2 linked regions of the Caenorhabditis elegans genome follow. The protein of the gene in region 2 purifies or fractionates together with the protein of the main gene of each other region. This does not show direct contact. Each region holds a gene or a part of one and is shown on either strand. Other genes may lie near its edges. The genes, in order: gfm-1 and trm-2A.

Evidence for each region.
Region 1: the proteins of trm-2A (region 2) and gfm-1 fractionate together in Caenorhabditis elegans (co-fractionation; one large-scale study listed by BioGRID). This does not show direct contact.

The regions. Positions count from the first base shown.
Region 1 is NC_003280.10:13,114,322-13,123,237, forward strand, and holds gfm-1 (Elongation factor G, mitochondrial), read left to right. Parts: upstream 1-3,161; 5' UTR 3,162-3,171; coding exon 3,172-3,219; intron 3,220-3,274; coding exon 3,275-3,368; intron 3,369-3,426; coding exon 3,427-4,145; intron 4,146-5,255; coding exon 5,256-5,708; intron 5,709-6,552; coding exon 6,553-6,830; intron 6,831-6,888; coding exon 6,889-7,549; 3' UTR 7,550-7,695; downstream 7,696-8,916. Other genes in the region: rict-1 (RICTOR_N domain-containing protein), read right to left, coding at 390-674, 736-825, 1,800-2,066, 2,125-2,329, 2,387-2,480; bath-45 (BTB and MATH domain-containing protein 45), read left to right, coding at 8,717-8,829, 8,881-8,916. UniProt on the Caenorhabditis elegans protein: Mitochondrial GTPase that catalyzes the GTP-dependent ribosomal translocation step during translation elongation.
Region 2 is NC_003283.11:901,593-911,289, reverse strand, and holds the start of trm-2A (tRNA (uracil(54)-C(5))-methyltransferase), read right to left. Parts: upstream 6,328-9,697; 5' UTR 6,323-6,327; coding exon 6,177-6,322; intron 6,100-6,176; coding exon 5,341-6,099; intron 3,788-5,340; coding exon 3,562-3,787; intron 2,531-3,561; coding exon 2,039-2,530; intron 637-2,038; coding exon 554-636; intron 403-553; coding exon 297-402; 3' UTR 1-296. Other genes in the region: fmo-5 (Flavin-containing monooxygenase), read left to right, coding at 7,743-7,804, 8,532-8,626, 8,673-8,916, 9,424-9,697.

The sequences.
Region 1 (8,916 bases), on a different chromosome or scaffold from region 2:
AGGGCCGCGAGAAAAATTCAAAAAATTTAAATTTTTAATTTTTTTAAAGATTTTTTTGAATTTTTCTGAAATTTTTAGATTTTTTGCACAAAAATGTCAAAAATGACGTCAGTTTTTTGCGCGGCGGGAATTCAAATTTAATTCGGTCTTTTAATTTTTTGAAAAAATCATTTTAAAAATTTAGAATATTTTTTTAACCATTTTTTTAAATTTATTCTGAAATTTTTAGATTTTTTCGAATTTATTCTGAGATTTTTAGATTTTTCCGCATTTTTTGCATTTTTTGACATTTTTCGAAATTTTTCGACATTTATTTTGAATTTTTTGCATTTTTTCGCATTTTTCTACATCACATGATTAACCCCATATATAGGAATGCTAGAGCTTACGCATTATCATTCGTAAGCATACTTCCTCTTTTCTGGAACAATCCGAATTCCACCAGAGGTGCGAAGATCTGCTCCATCACCAAATCCAAATGCGCTTTGATCCGAATCGTCGGAGAATCAAGCCACGAGATCAGAACATGTGATGCAAGGAGCACAATTCGTCGGCTCATACAAGAAACTCCAGTTAATGCTTTTACAAGCCAATCTGTTCCGGCCATTTCTAGGACTAATAGCGGTTCGGTTAAGCTGAACTCCAGGAAAAGGCCGACGCACGGGAGGGTTAATCTAAAAATTGGAAAATTTATTAATTTTTTTCAACGGGAAATCGAATCCAATCCAGGCTTACTTGTCTTTTCCCGTAGTCTGTTGACCTTCAAATGCTGACAATGCGATGGAGATGATGGGTTGCATGATGGACTTGGGGAATGCATATTTTCTGAAAAAAAAAGAATGCGTATTGCACAGAATATTTGACGCGCAAAATATCTCGTAGCGAAAAACTACAGTAATTCTTGAAATGACTACTGTAGCGTCTGTGTCGATTTACGGGCGATTTTCTCCCGTAAATCGACACAAGCGTTACAGTAGTCATTTCAAGAATTACTGTAGTTTTCGCTAAGAGATATTTTGCGCGTCAAAAGATTTAGGTACATTTCGATGTGCCAACCGAAAAAGAAAACCGATTATTTTTAAATATTCAGTGCAAAATTGAAAAAAAAAATTTTTAACTTTAGATTTTCCCAAAATCTACAGCTTTTTCTAGAATTTTTCAGATTTTTACAGAAAATTTTGTATCATTTTTTTTCAGATTTTCAAGTTTTTTTTTGGAATTTTTCTGGAATTTTTCAAGTTTTTCAAGCTTTTTTAAAATTCATTTTGAAATTTTCAGAGTTTTTTGAATTTATTCTGAAATTTTTCAGGTTTTTCAAGAGTTTTTTAAAAAGATTATTTTGAATTTATTCCGAAATTTTTAGATTTTTTTTGAATTTATTCTAAAATTTTTAGAGTTTATTTTTAACACTTATTCTGAAATTTTTAGAGTTGTTTAAATTTATACTGAAATTTTTAAATTTTTTTAACATTTATTCTAAAATTTTTAAACTTTTAAAAAATTACTTCTGGAGATTTTCAGATTTTTTAAAGTTTTCCACCGAAAATTCTGAGTTTTTACAAAAAAAAATCACAAACACCATTATAAAATCAGATTTTAACGTACAAATGTTCTGCAACTTTTCAGATTTATTCTGCAACGACCAGATTTGATAAAAAATTTATTTAAAATATCTCTTTGGTGATTTCAAAAAATTTAGTTTCCCGCCGCTTGTCAAGCCGGCTAAATTCCAAATTTTACCAAATTTTGTGAATTTTCGATCATTTTTTTCCAGAAAATTGAAGTTAAATTTAGCATACTTTCCGTTTTTCTGCGCCGCCGAGGAGTCTATCAGCTTCTTGAGATTGGATTTCTCGTAGATTTTAAGCATCCAAATAATTAACTTGAAAGCTTCCAATCGTTCCGTTTGATTTTCCATTTGTAAATCAATTGCGCGAACGATAAAAATATCCACGTGAGTTGTAAGGATTACAACTAGATTCCGCTCGTTTATCGTACATTTTCGAACCATATGGAAGCACATTGCACGGATACACGGGTGATCGTCGGGTAGGAATTTTAACACTCTGAAAAATGGGGAATTTTTATTATATGTTAAATCTCAGATTAGTTTTCACAACTTACAACTGACAAATATCCTCAAAAAACTCGTTATCCGTCAGCGATTCCACTGTGGTTTCCAAAATCGTCCTGGAAATTCCATTCAAAAATTCACATTTCTCTTCGTAAGTTGCTTTTGTGTACGAATCGGCGCCTCGGATCAGTTTCTGCACATCTTCACGGGCTCGGAATCTTTCTCGTCGTTTTTCACTGGTTTCGCTTACTTTTTCTGGAAAATTTTAATATTAAAATGCTCATCATAATTCAAGCTGAAAAAAAAACTAACTAGCTCGAGTTTTGACTCTGATGCTCTCCCGGATTTCCTGTATCCTCTGTGTATTGTTTTCGCCTCTGTGATACACTTTTCGACGAGTGTCCATCGCCTGAAAATTGAAATTTTTCATGAAAATAGCGGGGGAAACGAGACAGGACACGGGGAAAAAGTACTGCAATTGATAAGAATAGTGGAATTAGAGAGAGCAGAAAAGTGGTTAAATATGCTCTTTCGCTCGGCCACCGGGTTACTGTAGCTAGCTGCGTAGGAAATAATAGAAATAATATATTTCCGTCGAAAAGAGTATTTAAAAGATTATTTCTTTCAGTTAAAACCCGTTATTTCAACATTATTTAATGATGCAATACCACATTGCTGGTTACAAAGCGTTTTTCAAATTTCCAATAAACAAAAACATGAAATTCTTGGAAAACTCTGCATTTCTCAAGCAACTCGAAATAAATCAATATTAAAACTTGATGATTCTGTTCTTTTCTTTACTAAAAATTGAAAAAACGAACGGAAAACAACGAGAGAGTTCTTTAAAAAATATATAAGAAATATCTGAAAGTCGAGTGAGAAAAACATGTTTTTTTGGAAGAGCGACTGCCCCGAAATGCTAGGCCACGCGTCGCGTACTCCTCTCGGATAACGATTTTATGGCATCATTTTTTGTTAATTAATAAAATTAAACGTTTTAAATGCACTTTTCCAATATTATTTTTATTTTAAAAATTTAAAAATTATTTAAGTGAAAATCTTTGAAAATTTAACATCTAAACTTCAGGTAATACACAATGAGTCCTCTCGGGAGGTTCTCTGCAGTGGCGCAAAGCCGTCGGCAGGTAATTTATTTATTTTTAAATTATTTTAATAGTTTTTTTTAAATGAATTTTTCAGCTAAACAACGTCCTCCGACGATTCGCATCCAACGAAGCGCCGTCGTCCGTCGTCGTACCAGGAGTCCGGCCAATTGAACGAATCAGAAATATTGGTTTGGCGTTTAATCCTAATTTTTGATCAAAATCTTGATTTAAAACACAAATTTCCAGGTATTTCTGCTCATATTGATTCGGGAAAGACGACTGTCACAGAAAGAATCTTGTATTATGCCGGAAGAATCGACTCGATGCACGAAGTTCGCGGAAAAGACGACGTCGGAGCCACAATGGATTTTATGGATCTCGAACGACAGCGGGGGATCACTATTCAGTCGGCGGCTACCTATGTGGATTGGCACGGAACTAATATTAATATTATTGATACACCAGGCCACGTGGATTTCACAGTTGAAGTCGAGCGGGCTCTTCGTGTTCTCGATGGAGCCGTACTTGTTCTGTGCGGAGTTGGAGGTGTCCAGTCGCAAACGTTCACTGTTAATCGTCAACTGGCTCGCTACAATGTTCCGTTCATCTGTTTCGTGAATAAAATGGATCGGAATGGAGCGACTCCTCTGAAAGCTCTAGATGGCCTCCGGAATAAATTGAACCATAACGCGGCGCTCATTCATTTACCAATTGGGAAAGACTCAAATTTCAATGGAATCGTCGATTTGGTAGAAGGACACGCGTTGTATTATGAGGGTGAAGGTGGACTTATTGTGAGAAAGGACGAGATTCCAAAGGATTTGAGGGTGGAAGCAGAAGATAGACGTCAGGAGCTCATTGAGCATATTGCCAATGTTGATGAGACTCTTGGAGAAATGTTCTTGAACGATCAGACGCCAAATGTTCAACAGATTCATGAAGCTATTAGAAGAACTGTTGTCAAGGTTGAATAATTATTAAAGCGCGCTTGCTATCAGATTATTCAGATTTACTCGTGGTGCTAATATGTCCCATTACGGTTTGATCTACAAAAAATGCGGGAATAAAAATGCACAAAACCAAAGAAAAAACATTTTTTATCCACTAAAAATTTCAAAAATCACCAGCTTTTTTCTAGAATTTTTCAAATTTTCTCTGGAAATTTTCTATCGTTTTTTTTTAATTTTCAGAATTGTTAAGATTTTTTTTGTATTTATTCTGATATTGTTAGATTTTTTTTTTTGAAAAAAATCTAAAAATTTCAGAATAAATTCTGAAAAATATAAAAAAATTCAAAAAAATCTTTTAAAAAATTCAGAAAAGTTCAAAAAAATCTAAAAATTCCATTTTTTTTTCCTGGAATTTTTCAGATTTTTAAAAATTTATTCTGAAATTTTTAGATTTTTTAAAAATTTTCTCTGGAAATTTTCTATCGTTTTTTTTTAATTTTCAGAATTGTTAAGATTTTTTTTGAATTTATTCTGAAATTGTTAGATTATTTTTTGACAAAAAATCTAAAAATTTCAGAATAAATTCAGAAAAAATATTAAAAAAATTCAGAAAAATTAAAAAAAATCTTTTAAAAAATTCAGAAAAATTCTAAAAAAAATCTAAAAATTCCATTTTTTTCCCTGGAATTTTTCAGATTTTTTTCGAATTTTTTCTGTAATATGGTTTGACTTTGAAGAAATCAACGAGATTTTTCTTATTTTCTAAATATTTTTCTATTAAAAATCGGTTTTTAACAATTTTTGACCCTAATGTTAAGTCAAAAATGTATTAAAACCGATTTTTTATAGCGAAATATTTAGAAAATAGGAAAAATCCCGTTGATTTCTTCCAGTGGACGAAAACGCTTAATTTTAGTCATTTTAAATTCGATTTTCACTGTTTAACAATAGGTTTTGTTCGCAAAATGCAGAAACAAAAAACAATTTTGAAGCTAAAAATTTGATAATTCTGCCATTTTCAGTGGAAAGACAAAACTCCGCGGATGCAGAATAGCGAAGCGTAGCAAGAGCGTGCATAACAATAAACTTGAACAAAAAATTAATAAAATCAATATTTTGTTCCAGCGTGCATTCGTCCCAGTCCTCTCCGGATCCGCTTTAAAGAACAAAGGAGTTCAAACAATGATCAATTCCGTCGTCAAATACCTTCCAGATCCATCTGAAGTCGTTAACAGAGCCACTGTAAAAACGGAAACCACCGGAGATGAAAAAGGAATCATTCTCTCGCCAAAACGAAACAATGATAAGCCATTCGTCGGGCTTGCCTTCAAGCTGGAAGCAGGAAAGTACGGCCAACTCACCTATTTCCGAGTCTACCAGGGACAATTAAGCAAAGGAGACACTGTTTATGCATCGAGAGACGGTAGAAAAGTACGTGTGCAGAGATTGGTTCGGATGCATGCTGCTGATATGGAAGAGATCACTACTGCTTATGCTGGAGATATTTGTGCGACTTTTGGACTTGACTGCCATTCTGGAGAGACTTTTTCGACGGATCAGAATCTTGCTCCGCATTGTGTAGGTTTTGATGCTTCACTGCAACTTTTTTCGAACGAGGGACGAGGCAAAAAGGTTTCTTGGCCATGGCCGAGTCCCCGACAAATTTCAGCGGCCATTTATCTTGCTTTGTTTTCTGCGTGTTTTATTTCGTTTTTCACCGATTTTTTCCGTTTTTTCTTATCAAAACTAATAAATAAATATTTTTTGCAGATGCTAAAACAATTTCCAAGTGAAAAAATTGTGAATTCAGTCGGCAAGTAGCGGTAAAAGTGGTCAATGTAATATGATGGATTACGGGAATAAAAAACCCAAACTTTTTCCCAAACGTGATACATATGCTGTTTAGATGCTAAAAGTACCTGATTTTCATAACGAGACCGCTGAAAAAGTTTTGAGATTTTCAAAATTCAACTTTTTTTGTGAAAAAGTCGAGATTTTGGCACAAAATGTTGAATTTTGAAAATCTCAAAACTTTTTTAGCTGTCTCGTTATGAAAATCAGGTAGCTTCAGCATTTAAGCAGCATATGTATCATGTTTCAGAAAAAGTTTGGGTTTTGTATAGCCGTAATCCATCATATTACATTGCCCACTTTCACTGCTACTTGCCGACTGAATTCACAATTTTTTCACTTGGAAATTGTTTTAGCATCTGCAAAAAATATTTATTTATTAGTTTTGATATGAAAAAACGGAAAAAATCGGTGAAAAACGAAAGAAAACACGCAGAAAACAAAGCAAAATAAATGGCCGCTGAAATTTGTCGGGGACTCGGCCATGGCCTAGAAACCTTTTTGCCTCGTCCCTCGTTCGAAAAAAGTTGCAGTGCATGCTTTTTGCCTTAATAATATTAAAAATTTCCAGGAATCAATGCACATCCCGGAGCCAGTTATCTCGATGGCCATCAAACCAGTAAACCGAAAAGATGCCGACAATTTTATTAAGGCGCTGACGCGATTCACAAAGGAAGATCCAACATTCCGACGAGAATATAATCAAGAAGCGAAGGAAACGATTGTTTCTGGAATGGGAGAGCTTCATTTGGAAATTTATGCTCAGCGTATGAAGAGTGAATATAATTGTCCTGTGGAGCTGGGAAAACCTACAGTTGCATACAGAGAGTGCTTGGGTAGCCCTTATAAGTGAGTGAAAAAAAACATTTAAAAAAAATATATATATAAATGAAATTTCAAATTGCAGATTCCACTTCCGTCACAAAAAACAAACCGGAGGACAGGGACAATTCGGAGAAATCGAAGGAGTCATTGATCCACTACCATCTGATCGCAATACTGTCGTTGAATTCTCCGACGAGACATTCGGAAACAATATCCCGAAGAATCTGTTCCCGGCTCTCAAGAAGGGTCTCGACGCGATTGTCGCCGAGGGTCCACTTATCAAGTCTAGAATCGCTGGAATTCATGTTCGGATCCAAGATGGTTCAACTCATGCTGTAGACTCCACGGAAATCGCTATGATCAATACAATGCAAAACATGATGCGTGAATCATTCGAAAAAGCGAATTGGCTGCTCCTCGAGCCAATTATGAAAGTAGAAGCTACAGTTCCAACGGAATTCCAGGGAAATGTAGTGACATCACTCACCCAGAGAAATGCACTGATCACCACCACCGATTCGACGGAAGGATACGCGACTGTGATCTGTGAAGCTCCACTGTCGGACATGTTCGGATACACTTCAGAGCTACGATCGTTAACGGAAGGAAAAGGAGAATTCAGTATGGAATATTCAAGATATGCACCTACAACACTGGAAGCTCAAGATCGAGTACAAGCAGAGTGGAGGCAGTTGCATGGAATTGCTGATCCGAATGAGAAGGGAAAGAAGAAGAAGAAGTAGATCTGTTAATTTAGGGTTTTTTCATGTTCTGTAGATTAGTTTTTTTTTACTCTTGTTTTGTTGTTTTCATTCATTTGTTAAGATTTTTAGATCATTCATTAAATTTTTGCGAGCTTTTGTATTTTAATATGAAAAATTCAAAATTCAGAAACACTACAAACAATTGTGATGGATCAGACCTATTGGGCCGTTCCGCAGATCGACAAATTGCCAATTTGCCGGATTTAAAGATTCTTTATTTGAACTATTTGAAATTATTATTAATTAATCGATTTGAAGTTTGAAGTGGTAGGATTATTTCATCGTCAGATATCCTTCGTACCAGCAGTACTGGGCCAAGATCCGAAATTGATCACCTGAAAGTTATTCATATAAGTTTCTATTAACTAGACGTCTAAAAATGAGAATTATCGCCAGAAATGGGTCTCGCCACGAAACGAGTGACTGTAACTCGTTTCGATTTATGGGTCGCTATTGAATCATTTTTTCGAAAAAGCAATTTTCCATTTAATTTATAAGAAAACTGATGGAATAGCGGCGCAAAAATCGACACCAGTAATTTCTACAGTAACCCGTTGTCCGCGTGGCGAGACCCAAAATCCTCAAATTTATTTTTTTTTTTTACGTATTAGCTTCAAAATTGTTTTTTTTTCTGCATTTTGCGAACAAAACCTTTTGTTAAACCTACGCCTAAACATGAACCTGAGAAGAAGGCTAAGCCGAGGCCTAAGCCAAATAATATCTGTTTCAATAAAAGTGTATTATTATCAAAGAGAATTCCAATAAAAATTAATTGAAATCGGAAAATAATTCCTCAAAAACTACAGTAGACGAACTACGGTAGACGACGAAGTACGTAATGCACACAATGCATTCTAAATGACGAGCAAACTGTTTTGATGCAATTTCGTTTATTTTTTCTCACTTTTCAGTGAAATTTCAAGCGTTTTTATCAGAAAAATGTTGGTAAATTCAAGAAAAGTGTTTTTTGAAACTTTTAACAAGCTGATAATTTTACTATGTAGTTCAATTTTGAGACAATTTTTCTGATTTTCACTCGCTTCGTTGATTTCAGAGCTGCATTGAATGAAATTCTCTGAATTTTGTCAAATTGTTGCTTATTTTCTTCTCAACTTCAAATGTTTTAAATTTCAGAAAATTCTTTTCATGGCCGCTGCTCACAAGGTATTCGAGCTTTCGCACGTTTTCAAGGACGTTTCAAAAATAGGAGATGACGAGTCTGTGTGCAGTCCAAATGAAGATTATTTTGGTGTTCCCTGGTCAGTTAAATATGAGTAATATGCGATAAACCCTCAATTTATAAATTTCAGGAAAATCGTTCTTCGTCACAAAGATGAAAAAATGGG
Region 2 (9,697 bases):
CCAAAATTAGTGAAAATAATTGATTTTTCAACTGAAAATTAATTTTTAAAACCCCATTTCGACCTGAAAATCATGATTTTCAGGTCGAAATGGAGTTTTGAAAATTAATTTTCGGTTGAAAATCAATTTTTACATCAATTTTGGCATAGAAATCAAGAAAACAACGAAAAATACCCAACAAGACCCGTTCTCCGTGGAGCGCGTTTCCTCGCCAACTTCAAAAAAAAGGCATTTTTCTGCGCTTCTATAATATAAAATTTAACAACGAAAAAAAAACAACAATAAAATTGCAAAAATTAACGATCCAATTGAATAATCCACTCCATATGATTCGTCTGCGGGAACATGTCGACCGGCTGCACACGGGTCACCGAAAACGCGTCTCCAGTGTATTTTCGAGACCTATAAATGAATTGGTTTTAGAGAGAGAGAGAGAGAGAGAGAGAGAGAGAGAGAGAGAGAGAGATAGGGAGACGGAGAGAAAAACACACAGTCTTATCACATTTAGATTGTAGTGAGATAAGACTGTGCTAGGTGTGTGCAATACACTTACGACGGACGGCACAGATTCACGATGTTGGAGATGGCGGCGTTTGGTTCACACGAGACAAAGATCAGACGACGCATTGTTTCCATCTGGAGCAAAAAAAACCGTTTTCAGGTGTTACAGGCCAGGACTGCCGGTTTTTTCTTTCGAAAAACCGAAAAGCACGTGGTGCCAGAGTGTCCCATATCGGTGTGATCTACAAAAAATGCGGGAATTTTTTCTCAGAAAAATGTGACGTCATCTCGCTCTTAACCATAAGAAATGTGTTGAGAAGTCAGCGCGTCGGAATTCCCGCATTTCTTGTAGATCACACCGATGTGGGACACTCTGACACCCCACGTGGGAAAATCGAAAAAACTTTTAAACAAATTTTTAAGCTAATTTTTGAAAATCGAAAAATTTTCGTTTTTCAACTTTTTCTTATTCGATAAACTGACACCCTTGGTACTGAAATCTGGAAAATATTATCAAAATATTTTCAGATTTCAAATTTTCCACTGATTACGAATATTTATGATTAAAAAATTAAAAAAAAAAATTTCCCAGATTTTATATTTCAGCTTGAAATCGAGAATTTTTGCGCCAGAGACGTCACGTGTCGATTTACGAGATTTGTGTATATTTACGAAATGTTTAATCTTTATCCGATGCTGATTTCCTTTTTTTTCAATGAATTTCCTTAATTTTCGGCGGTTTTTTTTTCGAAAATGTGTTTCTTCAGGTCAATTAAACATTTTCGTATCAAAAAAACGAGCAAAAATTTTTTATGGAAAATGTTCTAATTTTTTGATTAAAAAGAATGTTCAATTGACCTTAAAACATACATTTCCAAACAAAAAACCGCCGAAAACGAAGAAAACTCATTGAAAAACGAAAAACAGCATCCGATATAAAATAAACATTTCGTAAATATACACAAATCTCGTAAATCGACATATGGCGTCTCTGGCGCGAAAATTCTCGATTTCAAGCGGTAATATAACATCTGGGAAATTTTTTTCGGATTTTTTAACATAATTATTCGGAATCAGGTGAAAATTTGGAGTCATTTGAAATTTTTTTTCAGATTTCGGTACACCACCTTTAAAGGCGCACGCAAAAATTTGTCGTGTCGAGACCGGGAAGTCGCGAAAACCCCGAAATTTCGCGTCTGAATAATATATTCCTATCAAAAGCGGCATTTTTTAAAGATTTGTTGATGTTTTTCAGTGAAAATTGAAAAATCGAAAAAAATGTTCAGAAAATTAACCATAAACTATGATTTAAAAAAATTGATTATATTGGTAAGAAAAAACATAACAATTTCTTCTAAAAAGAAGAATAATAGCCAAAATGTTAAGCTAATTTTTGATAAATCGAAACAACGATAAAATAATTTTTTAAAAAATCGAAAAACGAACACCCTCGATTCCTATTTTTAAAAAAATTTACGCGTAAATCTACAAGTTTTAAAGGTAATTTTTGGAATTTCTAAAATCCAAATATTCGAACCTCTCTACACGCGAGAATAACCTTCTCGTGCATTCCGGCTCTCGGTGGATCGAGCACTCCGACCACTCTCGATTTTCGTAGATCAAAACCATTCGGCAGATGATATCTCATCGATCGGAATGTGTCCTCGGCTTTTCCAGCAATATATTTACAGCATGTTTCCATTTTATTCTGTTTCGCATTTTGTTTGGCGTCCTCCACCGCTTCGGCGATCATTTCAATTCCGATGCAGCACACTTTTTGCGATTTTTGAATATTTTTCAGAAGGCATTGACCGATCGTTCCGGTTCCACAGCAAATGTCAAGAAGGATGGTTCCGGGATCTTCTGGAGCAGGTGCTTCATCTGCTGCAGTGGGCTCCGGCTCGATTCTCGGGATCTTTGCCGGAGGAGCATCGGATGGATCGTCGGGGATGGGCTCTGAAGGTGCTGCTGGAGCTTCTGGGGCTTTTTCCGATGCATCAGTTTCCACTGGAACATCTTCGTTGGTTTTCTGGAGAAAAAAAACTATTTTCACTTTTTATTTCATCGATTTTGCAGATTTTCAGTCAAAAATTAAGAAACAATTGAAATTTTTGAGCATTTTTCAAAATTCGGCGTGTGAACGCGCTCCACAGCGAATTGAAAAAGCTCCGCCCCCAAGCCATGGGTCTCGTTAGGTTTTCAGTGATTTTCGTTATTTATTTAATGTTTTAAATTATTTTTGTGTCAAAAATAATGAAATCAATTTTTCAACAGGATTTTACATGATTTCCACCTAAAATTATTATTTTTGATGATTTTCTGCAGAAAATAATAATTTTTACTAAAAATCAATATTTTGATTTTTTTGGCGGGAAAACCGGAAATTTTCGCCAATTTTCAAGCATTTTTTGTCATTTTTTCAGTGGTTTTTAATGATTTTTTTGCTGAAATTGATGAAATTAATGAAGATGCTGATTTTTGAGTGAAAATCATCAAAAATCCTAGTTTTCAGGTAAAAATTATGATTTTCTGGGAAAAACATTAAAAAACCTGATTTTTCGGGTAAAAATTATTGAAAAATATTGATTTTTCGGGTAGAAATCATCGGGGAATCCTAAATGTTTAAATTCTGATTTTAGTTAAAAATACTGATTCTATGGGTGAAAATCATAGAATAATTCTGGTTTTATGGAAAGAAAAGCTTTTCTGGGGAAAAAATTTAAAATAATGATTTTTAGGCAAAATTAATAGAAAAAAACCTGATTTTTTGGGTAAAAATCATAGAAAAATATTGATTTTTAGTAAAAATTATTATTTTCTGCAGAAAATCATTAAAAATAATAATTTCTAGGTGGAAATCATGTAAAATCCTGTTAAAAAATTGATTTCATTATTTTTGACACAAAATTCATTTAAAACACCAAATAAACAGCGAAAATCACTGAAAACCTAACGAGACCCTTGGCTTGGGGGCGGGGCGTATTCAATTGGCCGTGGAGCGCGTTTTCTCGGCATTTTTAATGCGCTTTTCAATAATAAAATCGCAGATTCTTCAAGAACCTTTTCACTGAGCCCACAATGCTCTCCAATCGTCGAGTAGAGAACCGCCGCCGCCTGGCTATTCGTCTGGAAAAACGCTGGCGGTGATACTCGGAATCGGCAGTCCAACAGAGATTCATAAATGTACGGAGTTCCACCGATCAGCTTGAAGTTCGGTGTATCACTGATATGAACCATTTGTTGCCAATAGATACTACACACTCGGTACTTTTTCTCCTTGAATGTTCTGAAAAATTTTAAGGTATGGGGTTTTTGATTGTATTACGGGAGCACAAAAATTCTGAGAATGCGTATTGCACAACACATTTGACGCGCAAAATAGGGTCTCGTAGCGAAGAATACAGTAATCCGTTAAACGACTACTGTAGCGCTTGTGTCGATTAACGGGCTTGACTTTCGAAAAAAAAAAACAATTCGGAAATCGAGCCCGTAAATCGACACAAACGCTACAGTAGTCATTTAACGGATTACTGTAGTTTTCGCTACGAGATATTTTGCGCGTCAAATATGTTGCCCAGTACGCACTTTCATAATTTTTTGGTTTTGTGTTAAATCGAACCAGGTTTGTAAGCAGATTTTCCAATAATTTTTCGAGAATTTTCTGAAATTCAAAAATTATCTTCAAACTCATATAAAAAGGCAGAAGAAGGTTCGTTCCAACTGAAAATAACATTAATTTTTGTGTGAAAGCTTTAAAAAAACCACAAATAGGCTATTTGAGGCATTTTTCAAGCTTTTCAACGAAAATTAATAATATTTTCAGTTGAAACGAACCTTTTTCTACATTTTTATATGAGTTTTGAGAGAATTTATAAATTTCAGAAAATTCCCGAAAAATTATTTGAAAATGTCGTTACAAACCTGATCCATTTGAACACGGAAACACAAAAATTCTGAGAATGCGTATTTTGCAACATATTTGACGCGCAAAATATCTCGTAGCGAAAACTACAGTAATCTTTTAAATGACTACTGTAGTGCTTGTGTCGATTTACGGGCTCGATTTTCGAAACCGTTTTCTTAGCGATTTTCACTTTTTTTTTAAATATTCGTCAAAACTCACAAGAAAATATTTTCGAAAATCGAGCCCGTAAATCGACACAAGCGCTACAGTAGTCCTTAAAAAGATTAATGTAGTTTTCGCTTCGAGATATTTTGCGCGTCAAATATGTTGCCCAGTACGCATTTTCAGAATTTTGTGATCCTGTAATAGACGGTTTTTTTTCTGAAATTTTCGGTTTTTTCCAAAGCAATTTTTTGTTAAATTTTCTGTTTTTTTTTCTGCAAAAATTACAAATTTTTGTTGGAAAAAACAAAAAATTTCGATTTTTTGAAACATATTTCAAACTTTTGGTTGATAAAAATTGAATTTTATGGTAAATTTGCATATTTTCCGTGAAAAAGTTGCAAAAAAAAAGTTTGTAAGAAGATTTTCAAATATTTTTTCCGGGAATTTTCAGAAACTTAAAAGTTCTTCAAAAATTCATATAAAAACATAGAAAATGGTCCATTCTAACTGAAAATAGCATTTATTTTTGTTGAAAAGCTTGAAAAGACCAAAAATAGACTATTTGAGGCATTTATAAGTTTTTTAACAGAAATAAATGTTATTTTCAGTTAGAACGCACTTTTTTCCACATTTTTATATCAATGAAATGAGAAATTTTGTGCGTTTGACGAAAAAATCGATTTTTTTTTGTTTCAAACATAAAATTTTCAATTTTGGTCATTTTTCTTCTGAAAAATTGGAAATTTTCCTAAAAAATGAGAAAATCGCACTCAAAATCCAAAAATCTCGTCTCAATCTTCTTCTGAATCTCTTCCATCCTCTCCACGCCATCCTCCAGCGGAAAAACCGTAAAAATCAGCATAACATCTCCTCCAAATTCCCGAATCGTCAGCATCCGCCAGAATCCTTTCCTATCAAACTCATTAAATGGCTCCAACGCCGATTCTTTCACAAATTCATGCACATCCCCAACGATCGCCATCATCTGTGTGCTGACAATATCCACGTCGACGGGCGGTATCACAAAATGCTGATTTTTCGAGAATCTTCCGCCGACGAATCCCACGCAAATTTCTCCATTCAAATCGTGACCAATTGTAAATTCACATTTATTTCGATAACCGGCGGTTTTCGGTGCGGGGAGAATTTCCCGAAGAACACGATCTCGGAATTGAGTCTGTTTGCCCAAATGTGCAACTTTATTCTGAATTAGCTGCCGGTACAACTTTTCAACGACGCCCACACTATTCTGCTGCTTCAACTCCAACTGCTTCCCGTATTCCATCTCGGCGAGCGGAGTTACACTTTCACGGGCGGTTTTCTGCTGAGCTGGCTCGGTATTTTCCGGGTTAGCCGGACGGAAAGATTTGACTTCTGTGGCTGCTAGCTGCGCTGACAGTATGAATTTCTTGTAGTCATAGCCATCGACTAGATTTATAGCTTTTTGGGCGTCCTCTGGGGTTTCGAACGTCACATAGGCGTAATCTGACATATGGCGCACTTTTTTCGATTTTACGTCGCCGAGGATTCTGGAAAAAGGAAAAAAAATCAATTTTTTTAATTAAAAAATCAATTTTTTAATTAAAAAATCGAAAAAAAATCCCACTTTTCCAATACTTTCTTGAACTGCTTGAATCCGATAAATGTTGGGATATTCTTAATATGAATCCGATCCAAATCGATTGCCTTTTCTTCTTTGACTTCTGGAGTTAACTCCGGAGTTTCCGTCTTAATATCGACCGGATCCGCCATTTTACCTGGAAAACTTGATTATTTATCGATTTTTAAAGGTTTTAAAGCTTTTTTATGCGACTTTTAGTGTAAAAAACCATTCAAAAAGAAGGAAAACCGGAATTTTTCGGGGAAAATCTAGAATATAAATCAAAAACAACAATTATCGCAGGTGTCCGAGAGGAGTACACCGCCTCTTCGGCAAGCGCGCTCTATTGAGAATTAAAACGGAGGGTGTTTAAAAAGGAGTTTTTTCGATACAATTTGAACGCAAAACTGATATAAAATAAACAGTATTGGTGGAGTTTAAGCTATATTACTTCAGAATGTCGATGAAATTGGAAATTTCCGGCAAATCGGCAAACCGGAAAATTGCCGGAATTGAAAATTGGTCTGCCCAGGGTGGACTAGGTCTGCCTAGGGTAGACTAGGTCTGCCCAGGGTGGACTAGGTCTGCCTATGGTAGACTAGGTCTGCCTATGGTAGACTAGGTCTGCCTATGGTAGGTTAGGCCTGCCTGGGGTAGGTTAGGCCTGCCTGGGGTAGGTTGCCTAGGGTAGACTAGGTCTGCCTGGGGTAGGTTAGGCCTGCCTGGGGTAGGATAGGCCTGCCTGGGGTAGGCTAGGTCAGCCTGGGGTAGGCTAGGTCAGCCTGGGGTAGGCTAGGTCAGCCTGGGGTAGGCTAGGTCAGCCTAGGTTAGTCTAAAATTTGAATATAAACAAAATGTTAACCACTTTTTTCCATTGATCTGTCCCGCAAGGATGTATTTTCAGCACAACAGGAGAATTCACGTAAAATTCAATATTTTCAAACTTTACAATTAAATTTTGTCACCAATTTTATCGCTGAAAATATTATTTACTGTTTTTCTTCTAAAAACCATTTTTTCATCTTCTGTTTCTGAGCCAACTTCATCAAATCAATTGGTATAAAAATTAAAAGAACTGCAAATTTTGCAAGCGCGCTCCAATGAGAGATTACTGTAGTAATTAAAATCGAAATCCGTTTCAAAGGCGCTGTGGCGCAGGTGGCCTGAGAAAGTAAAAATCGCCTAGTTTTTGAGCAGAATTGGTTGTTAAAAATAGTCATTATTGATTGAATAGAAAAGAAAAATGGGAAAAAAATCATTAAAAATAATTTTCACACTAATATCTCAATCGCTGTGAGACCATGAAATTACACTTTTGCTTTTTTAAAATGTGACTGAACTAAATTCTAGCCATAAAGGTTAAAAAAGGTTCACGAGACAACCTTTTTCTAGTCTGATGCACCATGATCAAACACGTTCACCACACGAGTAGTCCCTCGCTGTCTGCGTCTCTCACCAGACTCCATATCTCTCGTTATAGCCAGTCTACCCAAATTGATCACCCCACCGCACTATAAATACGTTGGGAAAAGACAGTTTTGTTATCAAATCGTAACGATTTTTTTTTCGACAATGGTAGCCAAAAAACAACTTCTTGTGGTCGGTGCCGGAGCCTCCGGGCTCCCGTCTATCAGGTATGTGGGTTCTCTTTTAGAAGTGCGAGGCAATACCAATTTTATACCCTAACCGTTTTTTTCTTGTGATAAAAATGAAAAATTTCTTGAAATTTTGCCTAAAAATGTGAAAATCTGAATATAAAACTTCATTTTGAAGAGAAAAATAGATAAAACACTACATTTTGAGAATGCGTATTAGACAACATAATTGACGCGCAAAATATCTCGTAGCGAAAACTACAGTAATCCTTTAAATTCCTACTGTAGCGCTTGTGTCAATTTACGGGCTCACTTTTTTACTTGTTTTAAGTTTATTTATCAATAATTTTTTTTAAATTTGAAATTACAGTGCATTTTTTCTTCACTCGTACGACCTTAAAGGAGGGCGCATTTTTTCGAAATGGTCCCGCCACGCACTCCAAAAATCAATGAATGGCGCGTGGCGAGACCCTTTCTCATAAATGCGCCCTCCTTTAAGAAACACAGTTAAATGTAATATCGCTGTCACTTTTCAAAAATCGAGCTCGTAAATCAACGTGTGCGCTTCAGTAGTCATTTAAAAAATTACTGTAGTTTTCGCTACAAGATATTTTGCGCGTCAATTATGTTGTCCAATACGCATTCTTAAAATTTTGGCGTTTCCGTAATAGTTTGCGCGTAAAATATAGTGCATTGCGGTGAGGTTCACAGCTGCAGTACACCACATTTTACGCGCAAAAAAAACTGAAACTTCTATTTTTTCCAGACATGCCCTGCTTCACCCAAACGTCGAAGTGACCTGCTTCGAAAAATCCGGAGATATCGGAGGACTGTGGAACTTTAAGCCCGATCAAACGGACCGTAAGTCAATTTTTTTTCTCAAAAATTCAAGCTCAATTTTTCTCAGTGTCAACCGTTATGAAGTCGACTGTAATCAATACGTCCAAAGAAATGACCGCATATTCGGATTTCCCGCCGGAAGACACTATGGCAAACTTCATGCATAACAGAGAAATGTGCAGATATTTGAAGAGCTACGCCGAGCATTATGGGCTTCTGAAGCATATTAAGCTCAATCATAGTGTGGTTTCGATTGAGAGAAATCATGATTACAGTACCACTGGAAAATGGAAGGTTCGGTACACTGATGAGTAAGTTTTCATAATTGTAGGTCTGTCGGCTTCAAATAGGCGGCAGGCGCAGAGGTAGGCATGATGTAGGTACAGTGTGAAGTAGGTACAAGCTTTTAACGAAATACAAAAAATTTATATGCTGCTATTTTTTTTTGACTTTTCGACTTTTGGTCCGAAAAACCAGAAAATCATTTTTTCCAACAAAAAAACCAAAAACGATAGCCGTGATGTAAGCATAAGCCTAAGCCTAAGACGGAGCCTAAGATTCAGCCTAAGCCTAAGCCTCAGTCTAAGCCTACGACTAAACCTAAAACTAAGCCAAAGTCTGAGCCTAATCCTCAGCATAACCCTAAGTCTCAGCCTATGCCTGTGCCTAAGCCTAACAAGACTAAAAAAAACTTAAAAAAAAAACCTAGCATAAGCCTAAGCCTCGTCCTCAGCCTCAGCCTAAGCCTAGGCCTAAGCCTAAGCCTAAATCCAAACCAAAGCCTAATCCAAAGCCTACACAATTTCTCCAAATTTCAGATCCGGAAAATTCCACGAAAAGATCTTCGACGGAGTTATGATCTGCTCCGGACACCACGCGATCCCACACATTCCCGAACCATGGCCAGGACAGGAAAAATTCAAAGGCCGAATTATTCATTCTCATGACTATAAGGATCATAAAGGCTATGAGGATAAGGTGATTGTTGTCGTTGGAATCGGGAATTCCGGCGGTGATTGTGCAGTCGAGCTGAGTCGTATCGGCAAACAAGTCTACCTGGTCACTCGACGCGGAAGCTGGATTTTCAGCCGA